Caenorhabditis elegans: one gene and its partners. The protein of the gene in region 1 interacts with the protein of each later gene in a biochemical or structural test. Each region holds a gene or a part of one and is shown on either strand. Other genes may lie near its edges.

Evidence for each region. Proteins that work in one complex are often made in the same cells at the same time.
Region 2: the proteins of cep-1 (region 1) and prmt-5 form a complex in vitro, tested with the Caenorhabditis elegans proteins (one study listed by BioGRID).
Region 3: of the proteins of cep-1 (region 1) and ape-1, one has a biochemical effect on the other in vitro, tested with the Caenorhabditis elegans proteins (one study listed by BioGRID).

What each region holds. Positions count from the first base shown.
Region 1 is NC_003279.8:8,322,594-8,329,366, reverse strand, and holds cep-1 (Transcription factor cep-1), read right to left. Parts: upstream 5,073-6,773; 5' UTR 5,067-5,072; coding exon 5,027-5,066; intron 4,976-5,026; coding exon 4,896-4,975; intron 4,844-4,895; coding exon 4,770-4,843; intron 4,719-4,769; coding exon 4,556-4,718; intron 4,431-4,555; coding exon 4,338-4,430; intron 4,294-4,337; coding exon 4,133-4,293; intron 3,908-4,132; coding exon 3,670-3,907; intron 3,169-3,669; coding exon 3,003-3,168; intron 2,559-3,002; coding exon 2,417-2,558; intron 1,905-2,416; coding exon 1,691-1,904; intron 1,337-1,690; coding exon 1,100-1,336; intron 1,035-1,099; coding exon 913-1,034; intron 865-912; coding exon 660-864; 3' UTR 508-659; downstream 1-507. Other genes in the region: rpl-23A.2 (Large ribosomal subunit protein uL23B), read left to right, coding at 1-107, 152-253; ythc-2 (putative ATP-dependent RNA helicase spindle-E), read left to right, coding at 5,384-5,448, 5,543-6,010, 6,061-6,333, 6,390-6,773. UniProt on the Caenorhabditis elegans protein: Transcriptional activator that binds the same DNA consensus sequence as p53. Has a role in normal development to ensure proper meiotic chromosome segregation.
Region 2 is NC_003281.10:5,228,838-5,235,050, reverse strand, and holds prmt-5 (Protein arginine N-methyltransferase 5), read right to left. Parts: upstream 4,497-6,213; 5' UTR 4,473-4,496; coding exon 4,177-4,472; intron 4,128-4,176; coding exon 4,046-4,127; intron 3,953-4,045; coding exon 3,759-3,952; intron 3,678-3,758; coding exon 3,396-3,677; intron 3,352-3,395; coding exon 2,946-3,351; intron 2,669-2,945; coding exon 2,187-2,668; intron 1,568-2,186; coding exon 1,396-1,567; intron 1,172-1,395; coding exon 953-1,171; intron 905-952; coding exon 833-904; 3' UTR 544-832; downstream 1-543. Other genes in the region: mrps-26 (Small ribosomal subunit protein mS26), read right to left, coding at 272-433; atp-2 (ATP synthase subunit beta, mitochondrial), read right to left, coding at 4,816-4,916, 4,965-5,676, 5,724-6,213. UniProt on the Caenorhabditis elegans protein: Catalyzes the symmetrical dimethylation of arginine residues in targets such as small nuclear ribonucleoproteins, histone H2A/H4 and cbp-1.
Region 3 is NC_003283.11:11,673,995-11,678,980, reverse strand, and holds the start of ape-1 (Apoptotic enhancer 1 protein), read right to left. Parts: upstream 3,044-4,986; 5' UTR 3,020-3,043; coding exon 2,960-3,019; intron 2,726-2,959; coding exon 2,594-2,725; intron 987-2,593; exon of another isoform or gene 782-986; intron 1-781. UniProt on the Caenorhabditis elegans protein: Negetively regulates apoptosis via its interaction with cep-1.

The DNA of each region.
Region 1 (6,773 bases):
AGAAGATCGAAGACCACAACACCCTTGTCTTCATTGTTGACGAGAAGGCCAACAAGCATCACATCAAGAGAGCCGTCCATGCCCTTTACAACGTCAAGGCTGTTAAGGTATGTTCCTAATTATCAGTTCACGTAATATTTCAAATTTACAGGTCAACACCCTGATTACTCCACTCCAACAGAAGAAAGCTTACGTTCGATTGGCTTCGGACTACGATGCTCTTGATGTTGCCAACAAGATCGGATTCATCTAAATCTATTTGTTGTTCATTGTTCGTTACCGTTATGATGAAGATATTCATTAAACGTAGTTGAGCTTTGTGGGAAGCAATCGATTCGATTGCAACGTGCAGATTTGATTCAAAAAGGAAGCAGATTTTATTGTAGTATCAAATACCTCTTCAAGTCTCGGTGACATTCTCATTCTGAGTCGATTTATGTTCGTCGACAGACTCGTTTTGTCTCCGTAAACATCATTCGTAGCCGGACTGTCTAAAATTAGTTTTGAATTGATAAAACGAACAAACTTTATTACGAAAAAATGCGATTATAAAAAGGAACAAATGTCAGTTTGAGTATCTAGTGAGAAATGCGGTGCTTTGAAAAGGATGAATATTGTGAAAACAAATTAGGCGATTAAACCAGGTGGTGATATGATTTTTACTTTGGCAGTTTCATCGCTTCCTGGATGCGGTAAAAGCTGAGAAACGCTTCGTAGTATTTCGACAATTTCGAAGAATCGATACCAATTCTTTCGAAGATGTCATTATGTTTCTCGAATTCTCTAATCATATCCCCCATTGTATAAATTCCGTTTGCATTGAACAACACTGAATCGTGCCCTGCTTTTATAGCGGTGAGGAATCTTCAAAAAAAAGAAATTACGGCAATCTTTATAAATCTTTATAAATACCTTTCAAGTCCTTCAGTTGGCAATATATGGGAGACTACTTGCGTCGGAACCCAAGTGTATCTGGGAACTTTTGCTTCGCGTGCCAGAAATTCGACGACTTTTGTATACTCAGCAGTCGACAGCTGAAATTTATTGTGAATCAAAATTAATTATAATATTGCTTTAAGAGTGAGCTAAAAATACTTACAGTGAGCGTTCTAAACGAATAATTGGTACAGCGACTTCTCTTCATCGACGGAGATTGACAGTTTTCGTGTTCAGTTTCAATCGGAGGAACGCATCCATGAAGACGACTTGCATAACCTGTTACTGGTGGAGTTCTGTGCATCATTGTATAATCATTATTTGGAGAATCACACTCATTCAAAAATCTCTTCCGATTATTACTGTTTGATGGAGATGAATATGAAGTTGATGGTTCCATCTGTAAATTTAAAATCTTATTTCATATTGCGTTGAGAAAATAATTGAATGTCTTGGGAATTAGAGCATATATATTTAAAAAATTAGATCGAAATAAAACATTTCAAAGCTTTGTGGTCGAGCAAACATTACGCATAAAGGAAGTCATTGGGAGATAAGATATCGAATTTCAATTCAGTTTTTGTTCATTCGACGGAAACAAGAAGAAAACGTTTTTCTATAGAAAATTGAAAAGAATCATGATAAATATGGTATATTCTTCTGGCAGAAAATTGATATTTCTACAAGGCATGATTTTGGAAATTGAAGTTATTTACTATTTTCCAAATTCTTTTAAATCATATTCTAGACAAACCTGTGCAGTAGTATTGGTCACGTTGAACATGTTCTCTAGATTGACCTCTTGTTTGATATTTATCGATTCTAGGCTCGCCTTCTTGTAGGCAGGTAACTCGGGAAATCTGAAATCCTTTTGTTTTGCGTCTTCTCGCTCACAGAAATTCTTCCAGTCACGTCGTGGATAGGCAACAATTCGAACTTGTTTGATGTATGCGTGGAGAATTTCGTTTCTGAAATGGTTTTTATTTAGTATATTAAAATGTTTAAAGAGAGATTTTCACTATTAATTTTACTCGATTATAAAGAGCTTTTTCAAAAGAACCAATTCAAAGAGTGAAAACAAATGTTCAAAAAAAAAGATCAACAATTCACAAATGTATTTGATTATGAATAAAGATCAAGCAATAAGTGTTATTAAAAAATTAGCAAAAAATTGATTTGAAACGCGGTAAACATTGCCGCGTTTTTAAATGACTCCAGACTGGCCTAGAATTTTTACATTTCTCTTACACGACCCCCTATCTGGAAATAGTAAGAACAGTAGATGTCGTTTTTAAACTATTTTGGAATAAATATTTTAAATTATTTTGATTATTTGAAAGTAATCTTTGACTTTTTGTTAAGTAGAAAAGAAACACTGTTTCAAGTGAATAGAGGAAGGCATATTTCTTCAACAGTAGGACAGTAGTAGAAAGCTTTTTCAGTATTCTTTTTTCAAATTTGAAATTATGTCTGAATTTACCCATTTTCATCGTCCAAAAAGACCGCAAGGCACATCGTTTTTCGTCGATCATCCAAATCAAGGCACTTCTCTTGACACATGAAGATTATATCAAAATTCGCCTGAACTGCGCCTGGATACATTATCAATGTAAATGTACTTCCTGAAAATTATTTATTATGCAATAATTTTGAACATGTTGATTCAACTAGAATAGTGTTAAAATATTTAAGAAAGTTATTCGCCTGATCTGAAAATTTTGAAAAAAATGTTTAAAAATTGACTTTAAAATGTTCCATCGGAATTATTTGCCGATTTTCTCAAAAATTGCGATTTTCCATTTAATTACATTTTAAAAAATTTAATGTTATTTTTGTTGTTTTATTTGAGTTTCCAAATAAATTTTCATCGAAAAACTATGAAAAATCCGCAACAAACAGCTTCAAAAAATTACGGTACTCTTTAAAGGTGCATTCCATTTTACAGTTAACAAAAATTTGTCGTGTCGAGACTACCGTACTTGTGGTGCAAAAATCACAATATTTCATGTTTGGATAATACCAAAATTTTGTAGAATTCGCCGTTATATTCATATTTCGAACGTTACCTTTTTCCGCACTATATGAAAATTCGTGTTCTGAATTTCTAATGTAGAAAAATGAATCAAATGGAAAATGTTGTTCTCGTTCAGTATGACTTCGACACTTCATCACATCACTTCTTGGATTTCGAATCGCATATTCGACATTTTCTTTTTTGTCGTATTTCACAAACTGAAAATGTTTACAAACTTAGTGCCTCTTTTCTCAATTTGAATTTTTTGCACAAAATAAATGTTTATTTCGTATTACGGTAGTCTCAGAGATTTTTTTTCAAAAAGTGAAAACATTTACATCCTAACCAAGGGTGTCAAGTCCCATGTCCCGTTGTCCCGTTTTTTGAGTGTTTTCACGGGAACGGGACGTCCCGTTGTCCCGTTGTTAAAATTATCACGGGAACGGGACAATTTCTCTCATGATTTTGTTGCACATTTTAAAGTTCTGTTTTTGAGTTTTGTTTCAAGACTTAAATTCATGCAGATTAATGACTTACATGCAGTTTCTTTTAATAGTTTGCCTCGAATACACTAAAATTTACGCCAACTATGCACTCTTTTTTTTAACCGCCCCGTTTGCCCCGTTTTTTGAGTGTTTTCAAAAAAACGGGACGTCCCGTTGTCCCGTTTTTGAAATTTTCACGGGACATTGACACCCTTGATCCTAACGCCAACTCACCCTGATTCTAAGTGATAAATTACTGTTAAAATGACGTTTATCCAATTTCCATTTCACTTGAATCGGCACTAGACATCCCATTTTAGTCCAAAGATATTTTTCGTGTTCCGATGAAATTGCAAATGCCATATCTGAACTTTTTGCCACTTTCTGTTTAAGAACGTCAATTTCCATCCATTTTTCACAATCTTCATTCAAATTCATATCTGATTGAACTCTTACAGCCAAATTCGATGATCTGAAAATACCGTGAAATAGGGTGAATGAGAGTTTTTCTTAAAAATACTCCAAACCCAAAAAACAAATCCAGAAAATAAAAGTTGGATTTTTTTCGGTTTTGCTCAAAAAATATATATTAAACTTTCAGCGGCAGTCTTGATTTCAAAGCAACAGTCCACCTTTAAATATATATTTGTTTTAATTGAAAATTTCCACTAAATCCGAAAAATACAAAACTCCTCACTCATCATTTCCATCAAAAGGCACATTTGTTTCCGTAAAATCCATTTGTGTAACCTTCTGTGTCATAGTTTCAGAAAGCTCTCTCGATCCGTCATTTTCATAGGATAATGCTGTTTCTTCCGCGATTTTCATCGATTTTCGAATAAATCGTTCTCTGGCACGCTGGAAATTAGATTCTCTATAGATATAATTTCAATAATACTCACCTTCTCAATTACAAGTTGCTGTTCTTCCTCTGTACGTACTCGAAGATATTCATACTTTTGGGAGTCGAGCACAACTTGCGACAACGTTGTATTCTGAAGCTTTGGATTATTTAATGATTGTATTTTGATAATTTGCAAAAGTAGAAGAGTTCAACTGTCTTCAATTAGTTTTTTATGCCTTTTCATTGCATTCTTCACTTCCTATTTCATTTACTAACCGATAGATATGATTCATCATTCATTAAACCATCTTCTGATTTATCACTGTCGAATACATCTCCAGAAGTATTCAAATCCGGTTCGAAAGCATCGGAAATCTTTGGCGTTCTTTTCTTGGTTTCCTCGCCATTGCCCAGTATTCCGTTATAGATAGTTGAAATTCTGAATAATTAATTTTCAAATATAAATCATATTTTTCTTTTTTAAACGAACCCAGGCGTCTTTAATATATCTTTTTCCAGTGAATCTTCAGTCCCTTGACTGAATATTGGAGTGAATACTCCGTCCTGATAAAATTATTTATTTGAAAATTAGGATTTTTTTTTTTCGGAAACTCACTATCATTTTCTGGACAGTGTCGAAGCTTAGATTTTGTGTCAAATTTACGCCGATGTCCTGCGAATCGGGTATTCTTGCATCTGAAAGCAAATTTAATTGAAATCTATATTTCAAGATTTCTAGCTTTTCACCTTTCAAAATATCACTGAGTTGTGAATCATCGGGTTCCATTCTGCGCTACAAATCAAGTAATATTTTTATTTTATTGAGAAACAAGCAGAAAAAATTAAAAACTTAAGTTTAAACTTGCAAGAGAAACAAATAAAGAAGTTCACTTTCAAATTCAAGTGTGTGATACCGTACTCCATGATTTCGTTCCGAGACCCATCTGTGAATGAAACCCGACGTCCTTTAAAAAAGTTTGTTTTAGGCGCCATTTTCATTTGTCGGGATTTCTTTTTTGTCATTGTTTCAGCCTTGATAGATTTTTATCTCGTCGTTTGTCACGTTGTTGTTGCGTCTGAATATTCTCATAAAATTGCAGCATAATGTCAGACGAACCACCTGGATTCTTTCGGGGTGGAGTTGATAGCAAACGTTGTTCTAGAAACGGGTGAGTTCTGTTTGAAAAAAATTAATATTAAAAAAACAAATATTTTTGAAAAATCTTATATTTCAATCATCAAATGACTGTAAACAATTTTCAGGTTTGATGCATCGCGGGTCTTGCCACGAGGTACAGATAATGACACTCGCAAAGAGTATCGACGGGTGGCGAATGAAATCATTCGTTCGTTTCTGAAAAGTGGACAAAAGAACACGACACTTGAACCTATGGGAAGAGATCAGAGAAAGGTGATGCACGAGGTCGCGCTACTCAATGAAATGACAACCAAATCTCATGGAAGAGAGCCAGATCGGTACATGATTCTGTCGAAGAGAGTGAACAGACTATCCAAGTCAACTCTTGTTGCAACTGAGCCAATCACTCCATCCTTCGAGTGTCTTCAGAAGCTGTCGAAGTTTGTCGAAAAGCATCCGATCACCAGAGAAGAAATGGACGAGTTTTTGACAGAGACACAGACAAAACAAATGCACACCACGAAGGGGCATATTAGTGATAGAATGGTGATCCCACCAAAGTCAAAATGCTCAAAAGAGTTACAAAAAGTCAGGTTTGTGAAAACTGTATAAATAGTTACTCCTATAACATTAAAAATTTCAGAAATTCACTGCCAGCTTCCAAATATTGTGACCAAGTGCTGAAATCTATTAGCTCGTGCAATGTGGTTATCATCAGTGGAGGAACTGGATGTGGAAAAACTACACAAGTACCACAATTCATTCTCGATGAAGCGCACGAAAATAATAAACATGTTCGTGTGATGGTCACACAACCTCGTCGTATTGCTGCAATTTCAATTGCTGAACGAGTTGCGAGGGAACGTGGAGAGCCCATTGGACGCACTGTTGGATATCAAGTTAGACTTGATAGCAGGTAATTCACACTTTTCTCTCGATATCACTTTGTTTCAACTTCATTTTTCTTTGCAGACGAAGCGACGATACTGTTCTGACATATTGTACCACTGGTGTTCTTCTAAGAATGCTCACATCTGACCCAGTTGCCTCTGGAATAACGCACATTGTGATGGACGAGATCCACGAACGTGAAATCAACACAGATTATCTTCTAATTGCACTACGTGAATGTCTAAAAATGCGTCCAGATCTCAAAGTCATTCTGATGTCAGCAACGATCGAAGGAAATATGCAATTGTTCTCGAATTATTTTGAAAATCATTCAATGGATGTGATTCGTATTGAATCTCGAGCATTTGATGTGAAAGTTTTCTATTTGGATCAAATTCTTGCAATGACTGGCTATCAACCACCTGAATCGAAAGCCTTCTTCTCTACTGCCGAATATGAAGAAGA
Region 2 (6,213 bases), on another chromosome or scaffold:
ATAAGAGTAACAAAATTTAAAACTGTTAAAAATTTATAGAATTCTTCTAAATTTTTCAATAAAAAGTTGCACGTTTTTTTGTTGCAAGACTGAAAAAACCCATTTTTAAGGAGTTAGAAAAATACTGTAAATTTTCTAACAGTTATATTCGGTATATTGAGACATTTTCTGTCATTTTGGGAAAAAGCCCCGCTGGCGCATTTTTTTCGGCAAAAATTGGATTTTTTTATGTTCCAATTTTTGTTCTAGTGAAAAAATCAATAGAACTCACTTTCTTCGATGGAGGCAAAATTGGTGGTTTTCCCTGCTTTGGTTGCCGTCGTCCCATTTGTCTCTTCTGTACTCCGAATACTTCGTCCATTTGTGACATGGCAGATGCCAAAAGACATCGTCCCGTTGAAGAAATTGATAAACGAGAACTGTTTATCAACATTCTGAAAATATTTTTAAATGAAAAATAATTGGGAAAACTTTAAAATCTCTATAAAAATATGTTTTAGTATGAAAACTAATAACTATAATTCAAAATTACAAAAAAACAACAGAATAAAACAAGCTCTTTAATTCGGAAAATTAACGGAAACTTAAAAACTGAATTTTTAAACAATTAATATCGAATTAAAAGGAGCAACAATCGAATCGCGATAGATACCGGAGCAAAAAAGAATCTTCAAATTAATGAACCGGAAAATGGGCAACAGGAAATGGGAAAACCAACGGAAAAAATTCTAGGAATGATTGGGAAATTCAATAGGGGCGCAAAAGTGAATAACACATCAACAATTAGGATTAAAACAGGAAAATAATAATTATAAAAGCGAAAAACTAGGCACTACATTCTCATGTAATAGCTCTCTCCATTTGGATTCTGGATCGGGGTGCTCACAGATTCGCCATTGGTTTTCTGGAAAAAACTCAACTATAATCTTAATAAGTTATCAAAAACTGTTACCTTTTTTTCAACATGCCATTCGTACCACACACCAGTATTGTCAACTTTTCGATCGATTTTCAGAGAAATTCTGTCACCTTCTCCAACTCTCAATTGATCTCTAAGTGGAATAACAGCTGGGAACCAACTGACCATTCCAGGTGTATGAGTTGATGGTTCAATTGAAAGCATCACGGTTTTGTAGAGTTGAAGATCAAAGTAGCCGGCGAATCCCATCAGCTGAAATAAATTAGGTTCTAACTTATTTGATTTTTAATTTAATAAACACATATTTTATCAATAAAATTTTTCAATTCATTGTTTTATTTTCAAAGGTGGACTGTCATTTGTGCGAATTTTGCATTTAATATAAGCAAATTACCTCAAATAATCAACGAAAAAATATTTTTAAATTTTCTTAAGAATTTCTAAGTTTTTTTTTTTTTTTTTGCTGAAAAACTTACATCTGCATTTCTATCCATAACAAATTCAATAGAATCGCTTCTCTCATTGCTTGAATTCATGAAATTTGGATGTTCAAATGTGAATACTGGTTTGGTGGTTTCGGCAAGTGGAATGTATTTTGAAAGATATACAACGTAGATTTGATCCATATTGTTACGAACATGTCCTTGTCTGAAAGAAAATGTTTATTAAAATTTAAAAAAAAAGTTTTTATGCTTTTTTTTTAATTAAAAATTATTCTAAAATAAGAGTAAATTGAAGCATAACTTGTGGAGCGGATACTCCCGTCAAGAAAAGATGGCCTAGAAACCTCCGTGTACTCGGCCAGGGCCTTTATGTACACAAGAGTAGAAAACTTCAGAAATATTTATTACCACAACATGAATTTTAGCGATACTTTTTCTAATATTACGGTACCCGGTATCTACACGATAAATATTCGTTAATACGAAACTTTTTGTACCTTTGAAGAGTACTGTAATTTCAATATCCCATGATTTTTCATAGTTTTTTAAATAAAAATCAATATCAATTTATCAAAACTAAACTAAAATAATAAAATGCCAACCAAAAAAAACTATAAAAAATTAATAAAAACTCTGCAGCAACAAGTCTTAGATTACAGTATAGTTTAAAGGTGCACACGTTTTCGCATATAACAAAGATTTTTGTTTGAATTTTTTTTTTAATTTTAAAAATTTTGTCTAATCGAGACCGGGACTAGCAAAATTTGGCATCGGGGTAATAAGGCAGAATGTTTATATTTTTATAAAAAAATTGAAAAACAAACGGGTATTTTTGAATCCACATTTCGTCTTCATCCAATTCCGGTTCACCTCTACCATGCGATGGAATTGCACGACTCAAATAAGGAATACTTTGAGCTTTAATTGTTTGATGAATATGAGTACTCATTATTGGCTTCACATAGCTAGTGTACTTCTGTGGAATTGAAATTGTTGTTGGCTTCAAAAATCCAGTGACACCATCTAGACATTCAGGACTCAACTCGTTATCTCCAAAACTTCCAAGAAGTTCCGAAACAATTATGTCAGGTTGTTCGAATCCACGATCTTTCGCAATTCCCGGCAGACTTCGCATATCACTTTCAATAATCGTTACTCGTCGTTTCCATGTTCTCACATTCATATATTTCAGAGTGACGATTGCATTTGGATTCTTTTCAACAATATAAAGCTTCACTTTGAGACTTTCTTGGCCTTGTCGGAATGTGTTGTTGTATTCTCTTTCAGATTTCAGAATTTTCGTTCCCTGAAAAAAATTGAAATTTATAATATTTAAAACTATGGAGACGCATAAAAATGCCCGTTTTGATATTCATTTAGACCGAAAAACTGTAAATTGAAAAATGTTGCAGTTCGCTTCAGACAATTGGCAAAATTAACTGCAAAATGTTTGAATTTCCGGCTTGTCGCCAACTTCCAAACGAGACCCATGGTCAGGGGGTGGAGTGTTTTCAATTGGCCACAAAATATGTTTTCATGTCGAATTAAAAGGGACTTTTTCTACTTAATAGCCAAAAACTCACAATAGGACCACGTCCTCCTCCCAACAAGTAAATGACAACAGTTTTTCTTCCGTCAGCTCCAAGATCTTTTAATGCTCCAACTACAGCTTCTCCATACACGTCGTATTTAATTTGATCCTGCTCGAATGTATTATAAACTCCTGAATCCAAATTTTCAGACAATGGTTGAAGAGGTGCTTGCAAAACATCTTTGTATTCGATAACATTAAGATAATGAGTGGAGTCATTCGATCCTTCTCCAACATCAGGACGACTTCGGTAATTAACATTTCGAACTGCATGACGAAGAGCTTGAGAATACTCGGATTTGATAGAAGTATTGTACTTGAATGTATCCGTTGTGGCACGAAGAACGATCCGAAGTGCATCAGTTGTCCATAGATGTTTTAATAAATTTATGTGGGCACTGAAAAATTAGTATTTATTTGAAAATGTAATCTTGAAATTTACCTTGGAATTGATGCTTCTCCATTTCTTCCAGAAATAAAAAGACCCGATTCGATAACAAAAGCTGCTAGGGGCTCGGCCTTCCAACGGTCCACAAGTTTAAGCTCAGTAAGCTCATCGGGAAGTTCCGAAGAGATCGTCAAAGCCACTTGGAAATAAACACCACTGAAATTACCACAATTCTTCCGGAAATCGGCCCAAATTGTCCATAAATCAACATGTTCTATTGTGAAAGCGTCATAATCTTTGCACTTTTCAATTGCAGACGGAAGTTGAACCCAAACACTGAAAATAAATATAAACTTTGCTTTTTTAAAAAATATTTTACTGAAAAAAAGGAGCTATTTCATATTGCATTTTACTTACGTAAAACGCGAATTTCTAGTCCAAATCCATTTTTTCAAAATGGCAGCAGTACGAGGCGACGAGATGCGTGTGAGCTCGATTGCCATCGTTTGAAGACCCAAATAACAAATGTAGCTGAGCTCTTTCAGAAGATGTTCCTCGGAAAGCGAGGCAAAGGCTGGATCAGAAGAGTCACAGTCGATCCATGGAGAAATCTTGAAAAAAATGACAATTTCAGGTTTTAATTTAAGAATAAAGGGCTTGTTCTTCGAAAAAGTAATTAAAATTAAAAAAAAAACCCCCCATACTTTTCCTACAACATAGCTTTCCCAGAGATCATTTCTCAGCTGAACATCGGGCAAATCAATAACAGGTGGATGATTCTCCGCGCTGAAAATTAGTAGTCTAGTTGAAGTTGGGTAAGATAGTCGATGTGAACCTTCCATTAGGCGTCCAGAATGCGCGAACGACCCCTCCAATCGGGTAGACGACAAAGTTATACTTGAACTCTCCCAGTCGTGTACAGAAAGTAGCAACATGACGGTCTAGATTCTCGGCAACGTCCAAGGTTGTGGCCATCCATCCGATGTGTATTCTAGAGTTCGCTGCCTCAACAGAGCTTATACTTCTGCTGGGAGAATTACTTTTGGGCGAAGAACCAGAAGACATCTGTTCCTCATGCTGCTCCGCGACCTGTTGTGGAAACAGATTATCGGCATACGTTCTGTTACTCATTCGTTTAACCTGAAATTTGACGATCAACAAACTCGCAGTTTTATCATCGGCTTTCTGTTTATTTCTGATAAAAATATACTAGAAGTCAAATGAACTTGGGGTGTGAAAAAAATAATGTTTTTGCTTTATTTTTGTTGCCTTTTAGGGCATTTGGGTTGGTAGTTGAATTCGAAGAAGGGAGAGTGAGAGATGGAAAACAACGTATTGGGAGTCACCAAATAGTGGTCTGACGGAAACAGCACTACCGCAACAATACAATAAACTATACATTAAATTTATCTCTACCAAAAAACATTGAAAAAAAGAAAAACGAAGTGTCGGCGTTATAACAAAAAAAATAAAACTAATTTCCGTGTTGCTTGGCGAGTTCTTCGGCCTTCTTGAACACATCATCGATTCCTCCTTGCATGTAGAAAGCAACTTCTGGAAGGTGGTCGAGTTCTCCTGAAAATTGATTTAATTTTAATGTTTTCAACGTTTAAATATTCTTACCCTTGAGAATCATGGTGAAACCGCGGATTGTCTCTTCGAGTGATACGAACTTTCCTTGATGTCCAGTGAACACCTCAGCGACTTGGAATGGTTGGGAAAGGAAACGTTGGATCTTGCGGGCACGTGAAACGGTAAGCTTGTCTTCCTCGGACAACTCATCCATACCAAGAATAGCAATAATATCTTGGAGGGACTTGTAATCTTGGAGGATCTTTTGAACTCCACGAGCAATGTCGTAGTGGTTCTGTCCGACAACGTTGGGGTCCATGATACGGGAGGTGGAGTCAAGTGGATCGACAGCTGGGTAGATAGCCAATTCGGCAATACCACGGGACAAGACAGTGGTGGCGTCCAAGTGAGCGAATGTGGTAGCTGGAGCTGGATCAGTCAAATCGTCAGCAGGTACGTAAATAGCCTGGACGGATGTGATGGATCCCTTCTTGGTGGTGGTAATTCTCTCTTGCATACTTCCCATGTCAGTGGCAAGGGTTGGTTGGTATCCGACAGCGGATGGGATACGTCCGAGAAGAGCGGACACTTCAGATCCAGCCTGGGTGAAACGGAAAATGTTGTCAATGAAAAGAAGCACATCTTGTCCTTCCTGGTCACGGAAGTACTCGGCGACAGTGAGACCGGTGAGGCACACACGAGCACGGGCACCTGGTGGCTCGTTCATTTGTCCGTATACGAGAGATACCTTGGAGTTCTTTCCCTATAAATTGTTTATTTAAATACCATGAACCATTTTTTCCTACTAACCTTGAGATCAATGACTCCTCCTTCAATCATTTCGTGGTAGAGATCGTTTCCTTCACGGGTACGCTCTCCGACTCCAGCGAACACAGAGTAACCTCCGTGAGCCTTGGCGACGTTGTTAATGAGCTCCATGATAAGCACAGTCTTTCCGACTCCAGCTCCTCCGAAAAGTCCAATCTTTCCTCCCTTGGCGTATGGGGCAAGAAGATCGACGACCTTGATTCCGGTAACAAGAATCTCCTGCTCGACGGACATTTCGACGAATTCTGGAGCTTCAGCGTGGATAGCAGCGAAGTTCTTGGATGCAATTGGACCTCTCTCGTCAATTGGCTCTCCAATGACGTTCATGATACGGCCAAGAGTTTCTGGTCCGACTGGGATCTTAATCGGATCTCCGGTGTCAGCAACTGGCTGTCCACGGACAAGTCCTTCAGTTCCGTCCATAGCAATACATCTGACGACATTGTCTCCGAGATGTTGAGAGACCTCAAGA
Region 3 (4,986 bases), on another chromosome or scaffold:
CCGACAATTCGCATTAAATCGCATACCAAACTGAGGCGATTCGGACAACGATTGTGTTGATGGTTGTTGGTGTATTGAAAAGCATGAAACTAAGCTGAATGTATTTAACGGAATAGAAAAAGGATTCAACTGGTCGACGAAAAGTTACAGAATGAAAAAGTAAATGTCAAAACTTCAACACTTCAAACCTATGCAAGAGATGACTTTTATATTACTTAAATCGGTTTCCCTTTCAATTGGATCAGATGTGGTAATAAGAAAAAAGTCGTGTTGGCGAACGGAAGATAAAAAAAAACAAGTGTTTTCAAAATGATGATATCACATGTCACATTTTAGCTTTAGAACTCTTTCGGGCCACCGGAAGAGAAATGAACATTAAACACCGGAAGAGAGTAAAGAAAAATTTCGGCGAACCAAACATGTATCCCATTTTGACCGATCAAAAAAAAATGTTTTACTTAAATGAAGCGATTCTCAAAATTTCTAATCAGTTTTTTTTCAAGAATATTTTAAAGAGTATGGCATTATTTGTAGTGGCTGCCACCATAGAATAGTATCTTCTGTCATAAAATACTACAACAACAATCATTGAACAGTCACCGACAGCCTCGCGAAGATGAAAAAATACTTTACAATTGTAGAATAATAACGCTTAACACGTAATACATATCATTATGCATAATGACTTGACGACAGTCTCGATTACACTACAAGAAAAAAAATAACATCTATAACTTTATGCGACTCTACGACGACAACATAGAAAGATGATGGAATTGAAAGAGAAGAAGCCGAGAGAAGCGTACGCTCACACACGCGTTCACTCACACAATTGCGCAATTAATTTAGTTGTAATACGCGTTGCCGACGTGCGCAAGACTATGCAACGATGAGAAGGAAGTGAGTGAAAAGTGAAAAAAAAAAACAAAATTTATAATCGAAAATTAATCGACTGACCAGTTTTTTTTTGGCGATCTTTCCTTCACAGCCACAGATTTTTTTTGATAAAATAATTAAACAAAAATAAAACAGTTGTTGTCTATTATCAACAAAAAATATTCGTGTACGCTAGAGGAGGAACTTTTTTTTACTTTTTAATATTCACGAAGAGCTTTTGGCCAGTGGGTCAAGAAAATAAAAATAGAAGAGAATTAAAATGAAGAAATAAGTCGGAGAATCCAATATAGGGGAAAGCTTGAATGATAAATCGAGGTTAATCGGCAAGGCGCGTACGGCGTACGCACACGAATACTTCGTCTATCTTTCTGTGTCTCTCTTCAAAGGTCAGACTTTCTGTTACGAGAGAAGAAGAAAATGAAGATGATGAGAAAATTGTTTCAATTTCGTGGAGGGCAAAAGTAAGAAGGGGAGAACGCCAATTGGCATCTTCTTTCAATTGACCGATCCACGAAGAGCACTCACTACTATCAATGATATGTGGTGATTAGGTACCGAAAGATAAAAAAGAGAAATTTTTAAACTAAAAGTGGTCGTGAACCTATGGAAAGACTATTTATCATCAGGAATTTGAATTTTTATATTGACTAAACTATTTTATGAAAATGTTTTTGATAATCTTAAAGGAGGATTTCGAAAAATGGGGATACATTTTTAGAAAACTCTGAAAATTCCAATTTACTGAAATACCACGAAAGAAAAAAGAAAAAATTACTAAAGATCAAAAATTCCAACTTTGAAAAGTGTGAATTTACATATCTCGAAGCCACACCCAGTTTCGAACCAATCAGCGTCTTCGTCTGATTGGTAAAAAAGTGGGCGGAGCGAAATGCTGATTGATCGCAGTTTTATTTTTGGAGGAAATTAAAATAGGGAAAAAATTGAAAAAGAGCGTTTTTGAAAATTGGAATTTTTGATCTTTCTTAATTTTTTCTATTTTTCTTTTGGGAAATTTCAGTTTGTAGGCATATTCCGAGTATTCTGGAACTGAATCAAAAATTTACTGATTTTATTTCCATCAAAAATTTACTTGATTGGTATAAATTTTTCCGAATCAATCTCGATCAACTAAAAAAAGCAAGTCATTTTGATCCATCTGAAGGTATCACGCGAGACTAATAATCTCTGATGCATTCCTATCCGTTTCTGATCTTCGACAATCTTAACCAATTCAAACCAGGACCTATCTTAAAATATAATATTTTTATCATTATTTTATGGCGATTGTGATGCGTTGATGTCTGCCTACCTGACTTATGGCCCGGCAGAAAAAAAAAAACAAAACGTGACACTTCAAATCAAAATTAGATGACTTTTTTCTACGCTAAGATACGCTATTGAGGTGTTCTCTCCTTTTCTGACTATCTTTTTTTGGGAAGGTGATGATACAATTGCGTGAGATGCAAAAATTCAAAGAATTCCGTTACTCTCCCCGCAAAAAAACTACAAATTATCAGAACCTAGCCATCATCCATCAAACGGATTGTTGAGATGAAGGGAGAAACCAATTGAATTATATGAAGAATTTCCGTTATCGAGTTTTCTTTTTCAATTTTTTCTAATAAAATCTTAATAGCATTTCCGTTTCTTGAAAATTTTGTTCCGCATTTTTTCATTTCAAACAAAAAAAACTAACTCGTTGATTTGCGGAGATGAACGGAGCCGTCGAAGATTTATGAGCCATCGTAGATGCCATTGATGACGTCGGACGGTATATTGGGGCAGTTGAAACAGTTCGTACAGAATCCGACGAGTGAATCAGAGACACCTGGAATATGAAAAATGGATAATCGTCAAACATCTGCTAATCTAACAGTAGACCTTAAATATTTTTTGAAAAATTTTTATCGACACTGAAATTTTTATTTTTAGATTTTTTTTTAAACAAATTATGATTTCGTCACAGTTCACGTACTTCATGAATCACGTGAATATAAGATTTACAAAAATAGATCAATCCCTTTTTGTAACAATTTGAAAAATAATTAATCTCGATTCTCACCTGTGTGACACCGTTGTTTGCCGGGTACCCTATACCCCCTCCGCTACTGGTCGTGACCATCTCGTTGAGAACTGAGATCTGAAAATGGAGGGAAGATTAGTATAATTTTGTTTGAAAGGATTGAGAGAAAATGACAAAGAGCAAACGTGAATCGTAATACTGAACTTTTCTTTAAAAAATCCAAAATTGTCTAAAATTCAGAAATGCCACAGAAGAAGAACGAATAAAATCGAAGAACAACGAAAAATTGAATTTTTAAATTTTGGCTAAATTCCATGCTTGAATTTCCAAAATGAGAATTTCGACCGTTTTTTTTCGTGAAATTTATGACAATTTTCAATTTTTCAAAATAAAAACAAACTTCTTTTAATTTTTCACATTAACACGGTGGTTTGAAGATATTATAGAACAAAAATAATATTTCACCGCCATTAAAAATGATCAAAGAGGAATTGAACCATTGAAACAGAAAAATCAGGAGAGAGTCCAAAAACATAACAATGAAAATTATCAAGTAGCCGTGTTATTATAGTTTTCTGTATCTAATTACGAATTATTATCATTTCGTAATAATACCGTTTAATCAGTGATAAGGTGTTAATAACTTACATATGAAATTTTGCTGAAACTTCAAACTTGCTGATAAAACGCCTCACATGCTAAAAACGTAAAAAAGAACGAGCCGTAACAAAAATAACGAAGAGAAGGAGGACCTGCGATTGAATGATCAGAGGAGCGCGCGCGCAAGGGAGCGTATGCATGTGTTGGTTCGAAAGATGACGACGAGCCAAAGTAAACACGGCCTCTTAGATATTGGGGTCGTCCCTCTGTGCCTCTCTCTATTCGCTTCGTTTATTATCAACAAACTTTTCTTATTTCTCACAGTCTCGTACCACATATCTTCAAAAAGAGACTTGGCACAATGCCAAAACGGCTTTCGGTGTAGAATGAGAGATACACAGACATTGAAAAAGAGATCGGGGACATCAACCTTGAAATGGATCACCGGTTGATTAACGACCAAAAATAGGAGAAGAACACCGGTAAATGTGGGTTGCTAGTTATGGTCCGTAAAAAGTGAAGTTGCGAAAAATTATTTTTCTGATGATCAAATCGTTGACAATTGAGCGAAAATGGGGGCAGAAGTAGAAGAGTGCATGATGAATAGAGGAAGGAAGAGGTCCACTTGAAATAATTCCGAAAGTGGCCTATTCAGTCGAGAATTGGCTGCTTCGGAAGCAGAACAAGCACAAAAGAGTGGAAGGAAGAGGAGAAAACTCAATTTCGACAAATTCTTTCTCTTGTCACTAACGAAACTCGAATGGTCATCAGGAAACGAAAAGGAAAAAGTAAAAATGTTCCGGTTCTTTTAATTCAGGATTTTATTTTGAGTTTTTAAAATAGGTTCGCGGTAGAGAAAATTTTTTTTAATTGCATCGATTATATAAAATTACAAATCAAGTTTGTCCAAATGAAAAGAACATCATTGTTTTGTTCGCTACAAGGAGAAAACTAGAAGCGAATTGGAGCTTTTGCTCCCGCACATTTCAATTGTTTGAAGTGGGAACAAGAAGAGTGCACTTTCTATTGGAAATGTGCTCAATGATTGTTTTTCTTTGTCAATAACTTAAAAGTAAATTGAAAGCCGTTTAAATATTTTAAGTAAAAATTAAAATTCAGAGTTCCTTATCCAAAATAAACAAAAAAAAGGTAGAAAGAAGGAAGCTGGCTGAACCAATTTCTCATACGGACCGTTCGACCGTTCGGGCGTGTCAACGATGTGAGTACAGGAATGGAGGGACGGAAAAGGTGAGCACGGGAGTGCATTAGAGAGAAGATACGCAGAATGAAAAGGCACATGAGAGACATAGTTGATTGAAGAGACGCAGAGCATAATCGGTTCTGTTGAATACAGGCAAAAGAAAAGGATATTTGTGTGCGTTTGTTGTGAGGGCAAGAAGGTCAGAGGAGAGCGACCGTTATTCTAATGAGAGAGAGTGACTAGGAAGACAGAAGAGACGGAGAGA